Linked DNA regions of Kluyveromyces lactis. The protein of the gene in region 1 interacts with the protein of each later gene in a pairwise test. Links are inferred from orthologs where the notes say so. Each region holds a gene or a part of one and is shown on either strand. Other genes may lie near its edges. The genes, in order: SIP5, SNF1 and MMS2.

What was found.
Region 2: the proteins of SIP5 (region 1) and SNF1 interact in a two-hybrid assay, tested with the Saccharomyces cerevisiae proteins (2 studies listed by BioGRID). The link is inferred for Kluyveromyces lactis from reciprocal best matches to the Saccharomyces cerevisiae genes SIP5 and SNF1.
Region 3: the proteins of SIP5 (region 1) and MMS2 interact in a protein complementation assay, tested with the Saccharomyces cerevisiae proteins (2 studies listed by BioGRID). The link is inferred for Kluyveromyces lactis from reciprocal best matches to the Saccharomyces cerevisiae genes SIP5 and MMS2.

Annotation. Positions count from the first base shown.
Region 1 is NC_006041.1:1,967,758-1,971,214, forward strand, and holds SIP5 (Sip5p), read right to left. Parts: upstream 1,988-3,457; coding exon 536-1,987; downstream 1-535. Other genes in the region: KLLA0_E22089g (uncharacterized protein), read right to left, coding at 3,235-3,457. UniProt on the Saccharomyces cerevisiae protein: May negatively regulate the SNF1 kinase by promoting the interaction of the REG1/GLC7 phosphatase complex with the kinase. Deletion of SIP5 promotes resistance to artemisinin, which is probably an indirect effect of an action on the electron transport chain.
Region 2 is NC_006037.1:338,195-341,911, reverse strand, and holds SNF1 (AMP-activated serine/threonine-protein kinase catalytic subunit SNF1), read left to right. Parts: upstream 1-1,296; coding exon 1,297-3,105; downstream 3,106-3,717. UniProt on the Saccharomyces cerevisiae protein: Serine/threonine protein kinase essential for release from glucose repression.
Region 3 is NC_006041.1:1,702,207-1,704,585, reverse strand, and holds MMS2 (E2 ubiquitin-conjugating protein MMS2), read left to right. Parts: upstream 1-1,349; coding exon 1,350-1,360; intron 1,361-1,460; coding exon 1,461-1,869; downstream 1,870-2,379. Other genes in the region: coiled-coil domain-containing protein MAD1, read right to left, coding at 1-1,120. UniProt on the Saccharomyces cerevisiae protein: Has a role in the DNA error-free postreplication repair (PRR) pathway. Lacks catalytic activity by itself. The UBC13/MMS2 heterodimer catalyzes the synthesis of non-canonical poly-ubiquitin chains that are linked through 'Lys-63'.

The DNA.
Region 1 (3,457 bases):
TAATAAGAATATTTCATAAAAGAAGCTTCAAATTGAACAAATGCCATCATGTGTAAAACAAATACTTTTCCTATCGAAATGTTAAATGGTTACTCCTGTAAGTTTTATTGATATTTCACATCTCATCGTGGAAAGGTGAAAAATTTCAGGAAAAGCTGCGTGGTTTCGTCAGGCATGATAATTCGTGTGATGTGATATAATGTTTCTGCATGAAACGCTGGATGTACAGAGTCAGCGTAGATGTACAAGGGAGAATCCCTGATATTGAGTCGGAGTGAGTCCGCAGATGGGTGCTATATTCCACATAATATTCTATGTTTTATAAACATATATATACTCGCGCGCAGTGTTACTGATGAGTGTACCTTGTATCTTAAGGTATGATGCGAAAGTTATGGGATTGTTAAAAGATGCATGCAAAGTGAAGTAATTTGCGAATGTGTTGATTGTATCTGTCGTTAGTCGTGAAGGTAATGAAGGAGACAGCAGTGCAGGAGAAAATGCTTTCAGTTCATGAAATAAGCTCCAAATTAGGTTAATGATCCTGCAAACTTAGTTTGATTGCTTGTTGGAGCATTTCGTCATCCAGTTCTTCTAATGTTTTCTGACGACGTTGAGGACTATTCCCTCCGTCAGGGCCTCCAACTGAAGAAGAAATGGATGCGTGTCTAGAAGGGTGTTCGGGATCAATTAATTGATTACTCATGTGTATTGCAGTAGCTTTTGCTGATCTTCTAGCGAGTCTTAATCTTTCTTTGGTTAGATTGATCTCCCAGTCAGGTCTTATAGAATCGGATGTTATCACAGACGGATCATCGGCTGCTATTGAGCCCCTACGAATTTGTTCTATAGTTACGAGTTCGTCATCTTCATTGCTGCTAGAATCCGATACTAGGCCTTCACGGTCCTTGTATTCGGCAATCTTGTATTCGGAAGCGTAGATCCCGTTGATTCCAGTCCGCACGTCCCTGCGCGGTTCGTATGTTACACCAAACTCTGCAGTGGCACAGTAAGGGCAATTGGCAGGTTCACTGACAAGAAGGTTGGGATCCTTCAATTCGTCCGGTTCTTGATCTTGAGTTGGATCTACCTCTTCATGCGGGAAGTGTGGTGCGGCACGCTTGATTTGGACGAAGCATTCAGTACAGATCGGTTGCTTGCAACATCTGGAAATATTCAAAGGCTTAGGAAAGTAGAGGAAACATATTGGACATTCTGCTCCATTTTTGTACAAAGTATATTTCAAATCATCACTGGGTAAAGCCGGGTTCTTTGCTTCCGTATGTTTTTTGTTCATAAGTTTCAGCTCAAGATACCGTTCATTTGCCCTCTCCTGCCAACCAACTCTTTTGAAATATAACCTTGCCTTAGAAATTTTCGACCTTTGCCTTCTTTGTTCCCTTTTCGAAGCGGTACTATCCAGTAGATAGTCAAATTCGTCATCGGCTAAATCACCGGTCGGAACTCCCTCAAATTCTTCTGGGTCCTGTTGAAATGAACAATGCAAAGGTAACCCATCAACAATTTTTATGACCTCTTCTCGAGTCCAAGTCTGATCAAATTCTTGCAATGGTGTGTAAAAGGGAGCCAACCTCCTTTCTATAATTAAATTTTTAACTATATCTGCTTCATAGTCCAACTTATCGAAATTATAACATCCAAAAGGTGCTAAAAACCCACCATCCACAGTTTCGTTGTACTTGACCACAAGTTGTCTAGCATGCTTCTCTTTGAGCTTCTCCTTCTCCTTCAAAGACTTCTTCTTGTACGGATTCGGACTGTTGCCGTTGTAACCGTTAGCACTATTATAAGAGTCTGATCTCGCTCTCCCACTAGCACTTAACAAATTTCCTACCAAGGAAGTAGCCCTCCTATTCCGGTTAAGATTTTTTGGGCCCTGAGATCCAAAATTTAAAGACTCTGACCGTTGCTGCTTCCTATTTGCAGGGTCTTGAGGGCTATCAATTTTACCTGGAACATTTCCCATGGCTGGTTTAGATATTAGTGTATATATCCCTCTGTTTCTGATCCTATTAAATTCTGAGGTTCTTCACTTATAAGCGGTAAAATAATATCTAACTTTCCACACAACGCTAACCGGATACTGTAACTTCTGAAACAATGTATACGCAATATAACTAACACACCTTGTTATATGACTCAGTTAATCTATTGTATCTGTGAAGTTAGAAAAAAACCGTTCCTGTGTTCTCCCTATATAATGGAGTTTTGTCTCCTATAGAAATAAAGGGACGTTTTTCTTATGATGGAATTTTTGATTTCAAACCAATTTATTGCTTTATATAGCGACAAAGAGAAACCAGAACATTTGATATAACACATAGTGAAAGCCTCCTGTCTAATCCCGAACATGCATAAAAAAGTCCGAGTGACGAACTGGGAGTTAACAATCTCCAACCTTGTTCGGTGGAAGATATGAGATGTATATATGTATGTAGCTATTATCCCGAAATTCATTTCGGTCGAAAGCGTCACGATACGCAGGCATATGGCATTAAGTTGGAGGTAGAGTACCGGAAATTCTGTCTACATCGGGATACGCACTGTACTGTATTTCTAAAGTTTATGGATAACAATACAGGAGTTTTGATAGTGACACTGAAAAAAGATGTAACTTACATATGGGTATTTGGTATAATAGTGTGACTCACACAGTGAAAGAAAACTAGGTTGAAGAATAGTTGGACCAGGTTTTTGGATAGATTCACTTATCATTCCTTATTATTTCTTAGGTATATATCTTTACATTAGGAGCGAGGCGAAGTTAATGAGATATGAGCCGGGTTTTCATCAATGCTGACCGAGCAGAAAGTAATGACAGCTGATAAGCTTACAGCAGATGCTCTACAATGCCGAAAAAAGACGTACATATATATATCTACTTACTGGGCCGGAATTTGTGAGTTACTAAGAAAATCTTACTACGTTGATGTTAATGTAGGACCCTTAACTCGGCCTTCTATTTTTGACTTTCCTGCTGATATTTTAGTTTCGATCACTTTGTTAATAATATACATTTACGCGAATAAAAACAGCTTAAAGGTTCAAAGTGTCAAAAAAATATTAGGAAAAAAGGAACTGATTTGCTTGACACATAACTGTTATGATGAGACATGGAGTTTTAAAGAACAAGTACAGAGAAGAGGTGGCACAATACGTCTACGTATGTGCCGTTATATAGTCGTTAGAATACTTAGCACAGCTGAAGCCTTCTCAGAAATGGCCTTCAGCCTTTAGTAGAACGGTCATATCATCAACAGACTTGGTAACTCTTTCCACAATGGTGGAGACATCGTCTTCGGTGATGATGAATGATGGTGCCAACAAAGCAATATCACCAGAAACACCGTCGATGTTTCCTTGCATACCCATGACAGTAATTCCATTTTCGAAACATACATCTTGGAAACGGTGACCAACGTCAAGCTTGTATGGG
Region 2 (3,717 bases), on another chromosome or scaffold:
ACATGGACTTTGCGTTCAAAGAACCAGGATATTGGGTGGCACATATCTCACAACCTCACCGTAAGACTGACCTATTGAACAGGTCCTTTGAGCAATCGTTCAAAGAGGATGTCATTGAATCAGCAACAAGTTATGTTGTCAGTTACTGCAAACGATTTACTGAAACTTCCGATATTCGCTCGCACAATAAACCAACTGAACCATTGAATATCAATCGTGTTAAGAAGCCAAAATTATTAAAAAACCTATCTGCATATCTGGATAGAAACATTTCAGAATTCCATTTTGCGCCTAAGGATGAGTGGCAGATATACTTGGGGGAACCATTGGAGAAAGAGAAGGATTTTTTGAGCTATTGGCTTGAAAACCAATCAAGATTTCCTGCATTGTGCAGTCTGGCTCTTGCCTTTTACCACACTAAGCTCTCAACTGCTGACGTCGAAAGGAGCTTCTCAATCAGTAAGCGTGTTTTAGATGATAGATTTTCTCTTGCTAGTTCCAATTTAAAAAGCACAATGATAGTAAGGAATCGCTTGATGTGTTTCAATTTGGGCTCAAAGATGCCTGTGACTGAACATATTGCAACGGACTCTTGGACGGATGACGAGGACGATATGGAGCATTCAAATTTTAGCCAACAATCATTCTACGATCCTGCCGCAGTCATCGATATTTACTCCAGTGACAGTAGTGATTGAAACTAATACATAGATAGCAGAATTTTGGAATCACCAGTTTATAATGAGGAAAATACGATATTAACGTTATTCCTAATTATAAAAGAGTAATTGGGGAAGATTAAAGATGTAATATATACATCTTGGTTCGTATATAATAGCCACTTATCGAGTGGTGATGTACTTTAATGTAGTGTCATAGCATATTGACGTAGTGAAGAATGGATTCGTGAATTGTCTGAATCCTCTCGTAAAACGTGACAGGATTGGTGACTGAAAATGGTCAATTCGCCGGACTCGTCCCAGTACGGTCTCCTACATAAGGTATCAGTCATCATCAACGATTTCTACGCCGTTTACATTTTGATGATAAAATTGAAAACTTGTCATATACGGAACATCAACAATAAAAGAAGGATCAATGCGTAATTGTAGGGCGGATAGAATTGGGTTTTGTGAGACTCCAGAAACGTCACACTAGTATAAGAATTGCAAGTTTTCTAACAAGTTAGTCAACTTCTCAATTAGAAGCAACTATTCTCAGAGTAAACAAGATATCCCTCTGTTGAACGCAAACTCTTAGTGAAGCATTTACGAGTACATACTCATCAGAGAAGATATGTCGCACGACCCAAATCAACAACAGCCGCATGGTGGCTCAGGTCAAGGCCATCACCAACGCCAGCTGACTAACCACGCACAAGGCCAACATATCGGTAAGTATCAAATCATCAAGACCTTGGGTGAAGGATCATTTGGTAAAGTGAAACTGGCGTACCATATCTCTACGGGACAAAAAGTGGCATTAAAAATCATCAATAAGAAGGTTCTAGCCAAGAGTGATATGCAAGGTAGAATCGAGAGAGAGATTTCGTACTTACGTTTGTTGAGACATCCACACATTATCAAATTGTATGACGTGATCAAATCGAAGGACGAAATTATCATGGTGATTGAGTATGCTGGTAATGAATTATTTGATTATATTGTCCAAAGAGACAAGATGCCTGAACAAGAAGCAAGAAGATTTTTCCAACAGATTATTAGCGCAGTAGATTATTGTCACCGTCATAAAATTGTGCATAGAGATTTGAAACCAGAGAATTTACTATTAGACGAACATTTGAACGTTAAGATTGCTGATTTTGGTTTATCTAATATAATGACAGATGGTAACTTTTTGAAGACTTCATGTGGTTCTCCAAATTATGCGGCCCCAGAAGTCATCAGCGGTAAACTATATGCAGGTCCAGAGGTTGACGTTTGGTCTTCAGGGGTTATCTTATACGTCATGTTGTGTCGTAGGTTACCATTCGATGACGAAAGTATCCCAGTGTTGTTTAAGAACATTAGCAATGGTGTTTACACCATACCTAACTTCCTTTCCCAAGGTGCTGCGAGCTTAATCAAAAAGATGCTCATCGTCAATCCAGTTAATAGAATTACCGTGCATGAAATCATGCAGGATGAATGGTTCAAAGTTGATTTACCCGACTACCTAGTTCCTGCTGAAAGCACCCATCAAGAAAACTCTGAAAGCAAAACAGAAGATGGCGGCCCATCCGTGCCACTCGAACTGATCGATGATTCGTTAGTTCAAACGCTATCAAACACTATGGGTTATGACGTAGATGAGATATATGAGGCTTTAGAGTCCGATGAAGATCATCCATCTTTAAATGAAATCAGGGATGCCTATCAGTTAATTAAAGAGAACAGAAATTTAATCAACGACATCAAGGTGAACAAGCAACAATCTAATGACTTGGATACTTTCTTATCGCAATCTCCACCCACTTTCGAACAATCCTTGCATGCCCCCCCGGGCTCAAAAAATCGACACTCACACCGCCATTCAAAGAGAACACAGCAACGTACATATCAATATCATTATGGAAATGGTTCTCAGGATGGAGACAGCACGATTGCAATTTTACCTAGCTCGTTACCACAGATCCATAGAGCCAACATGGTAGCACAAGGGTCCCAGGCTGCTGCTAAGATTTCACCATTAAGCGTGAAAAAATCAAAAACAAGGTGGCATTTCGGTATACGATCAAGATCCTATCCATTAGACGTTATGGGAGAAATATACATTGCATTGAAAAACTTGGGAGCCGAATGGGCGAAACCATCAGAAGAGGACCTATGGACTATTAGAGTCCGTTGGAGATATAATATCGATATGCCTGATGACGAAATGAAGAACAAGCAGATTCCAGATTTAATGAAGATGGTAATCCAATTGTTCCAAATTGAGACAAATAACTACTTAGTGGATTTCAAATTTGATGGCTGGGAGTCCAGTAACGGTGTAGTGTATTCAAGTCGGAACGACGATGAAATGAGTACGTTCAGTGCATACCCCTTTCTACATTTAGCAACCAGGCTGATTATGGAACTTGCAGTGAATAGCCAAGGAAGTTGATTTTAAGGTTCATGAAATTAAAAAAATACTAACGGATAATATCCAACGAAGAGTGTATATAAGTTTGAATATTTGCTTAAAGTTTAAGCCTTATATACATATCATTAAATAATGACAATCACTATATTATATGAGAAATTACTCTTAGCTCACAACACTCGCCGGGAAGAAGAGGAAAACAACATACATGTTTTTGACACATGAAAAAAGAATGCATCGGCCGGGAATCGAACCCGGGGCCCAACGATGGCAACGTTGGATTTTACCACTAAACCACCGATGCTACTTTGTTGTAGTTTTCGTAAGATAGACTGAAGACAGGCCAGACGAAGGGTCATGTGAGCTAGCCAGCACACGGCAGAGTTCCAAGACGTCAGTGACTGGGCATATGGATCCTGTGGTATCCAGAAGGGAAGGCCTAGATGGATCAAAGAGGGTCACGTGACAATATTTAGTGAAATTGGAATAGGCAGAAGCTGCGCATGACGAGTGGCTCATGAGACTATCAGTTACCATGAAAAAGTCCGACGGACAACTGAGTATGAGTTGAGTATTAGGGCTGAGTTAAGTTGCAACCTTTTGAGAGGTTGGATGCAACAAGAAGGAGCAAGA
Region 3 (2,379 bases), about 270 kb from region 1:
TTAGTAGTTTACACTCTTCAAATGACAAAAGTTTTTGTTGTTCAAGTTCATGATTTAAACGCTTCAAATTCAAAATACTAGTTTCATAGTCTTTGTTCAAATCTAGAAGTTGGTTTCTTTCAATTGCCATCTCATCGTTGAGCATGGACATTTGATTGAAATCAATTTGTAACTTGGAATTCGTATCTAAAAGGAAAGTATTTTCTCGTTGTAACATATTAAGCTCTGTTATAACATCGTTAGGGTTCTTGAATTTACCGTCTAACCTAACAATACCCCATTGTGTAATCTTCTCCTGTAGGCTGATATTCTCCATTTCCAATGATTCGAACTTTTTTTGTAAAGAATTCAATTGATCGAGTTTAGACTGGAGTAATTCATTTTCCTTTTTCAACAACGATTGGACATCGTTATTTTGTCGAAGCTTCTTCAATTCAGTGGCTTGTTTAAGGTTCATATCCTCTAGTTCTTTGGCATAATTGAGCTGCTCCTTCAGAGTCTTGTTCAAGACAGCCAAATCTTGTAATTCTTCCGTAGAATTGTTCCTATGAGACGCAGAAGTTTGAACTGATCGTAGTTCAGATATCAGATTTTCTTTTTCCTTCAGTTCTTGTTGTAAATATCGTATCTCTTCCACATGTTTGTTTATCTGAGTTTCATGTTGATGCAGAATGTTTCCGCTACCTTCAATTTCCAACTTCATCGATTCAATTGCATTCGTAACTTCATTTTGTTTTGAGGAAAGCTTATGAGCTAATTCCACGATACGCTGCTCTTTCAAATTAACTTCGTTTTTCAAACTTACAACCTGTGTTCGAAGTGTCGTTATGATCTTCTCATCCTCCTTCGGTAACGCATCCTTACTTTTCAATTCTTCCTTCAACTTGATGTTTTCCTCATATAGTATCTTGGTATCTTTCAAAGCATTTTCCAGTTCGTTCATACTCTTATCGTATTTGTTCTGAAGCGAATAAGTCTCGCGTTCTGATGACAACTTCGAAATTTCATACTCGTTCTGTAAGGTTGTGTATTTGTACTGAAGCGTTAAAACGCGACGTCTCAACTGATCTGCATCTAGCGATTCAAGGGGCTTTTCCTTTATCTGAGGTGTTAGTGACATATAATACACAATTGAGTTTGACACAATTGCAAGACACTATTGGCATGAAGCATTCTTTAAGTTCCCCTAAGATCACTTAATGGATCAAGATCAAAGTCAAGATTTTCGCTATAAAATTATAAAATCAGAATGAAATGAAGAAACGTTTAAATCATCCCCTTTAAAGATGATCAAGAAAGGGGACGGGGATCAAAAGCTCACACCGCTAACTAACCAGACTGTTCTTACTATGTCTAAAGTGTACGTTCATTCGAATTCTTTTACTTTCATGCGATACCCATGCCTATAACAACCCTTTCAGAATTTTACTAACCGCACTATGGCATACATATTTCACTAGACCAAGAAGTTTCAGACTACTAGAAGAGCTAGAGAAGGGAGAAAAAGGACTGGGTCCAGAATCTTGTTCCTATGGTCTTTCTGACTCCGATGATATCACAATGACAAAGTGGAACGGTACCATACTTGGTCCTCCTCATAGCAACCATGAAAACAGAATATATTCAGTGCTCATCGAATGCGGGCCCTCATATCCAGACGAACCACCTAAGGTGAAATTCGTATCGAAGATCAACCTGCCATGTGTCAATTCTACCACCGGAGAGGTCGTCAAAGAGAAATTCCATACTTTGAAGGAATGGAAAAGATCCTATACCATGGAAACTGTCTTATTGGAGCTACGTAAGGAAATGGCAACACCATCGAACAAAAAATTGTTACAACCACAAGAGGGAACGACGTTTGAGTGAAATTACAGCAGGTACTAAATGTATATATACACATGAGAGTAAATAAGTATAAAGTTGTGTATTTGGCGCAACTGGTTTGGGGGCCCTTTTGGGCTCCCAAAAGTTTTCGTACGCATAATAAGCATATTGTCCAATGTATAATGAAGCAACGCCTGCCGATGTGCCCTCCACTCAAAAGTATCATCTTGCTTAAGAGAAGTCAGGTCCTGTTTTAGATCATGATCCACTCAATTGCACTGTTCTCTAAGTAAATTAGTTCAAACAAGGTTCGAAGAGATTTGCTGGTTTGAATTTCTCATCAAACCACCAGATTTACAACCACCACCAGATCGATAGTAAAGCCGGTTTTTTCGCCCAAGTGCCTGTAAATAGAAAAAGGCCTAGGTCAACCGTTCCGATTCTTACTCTTCTTCGCAGAGTCACACGCACAAAAGGGGTCTACATTTTGGTCCTGCTCCTAACACTCTTCTTTCGACTGTTTCTTTCATCCAGAGAAACTTTCAATTTGGA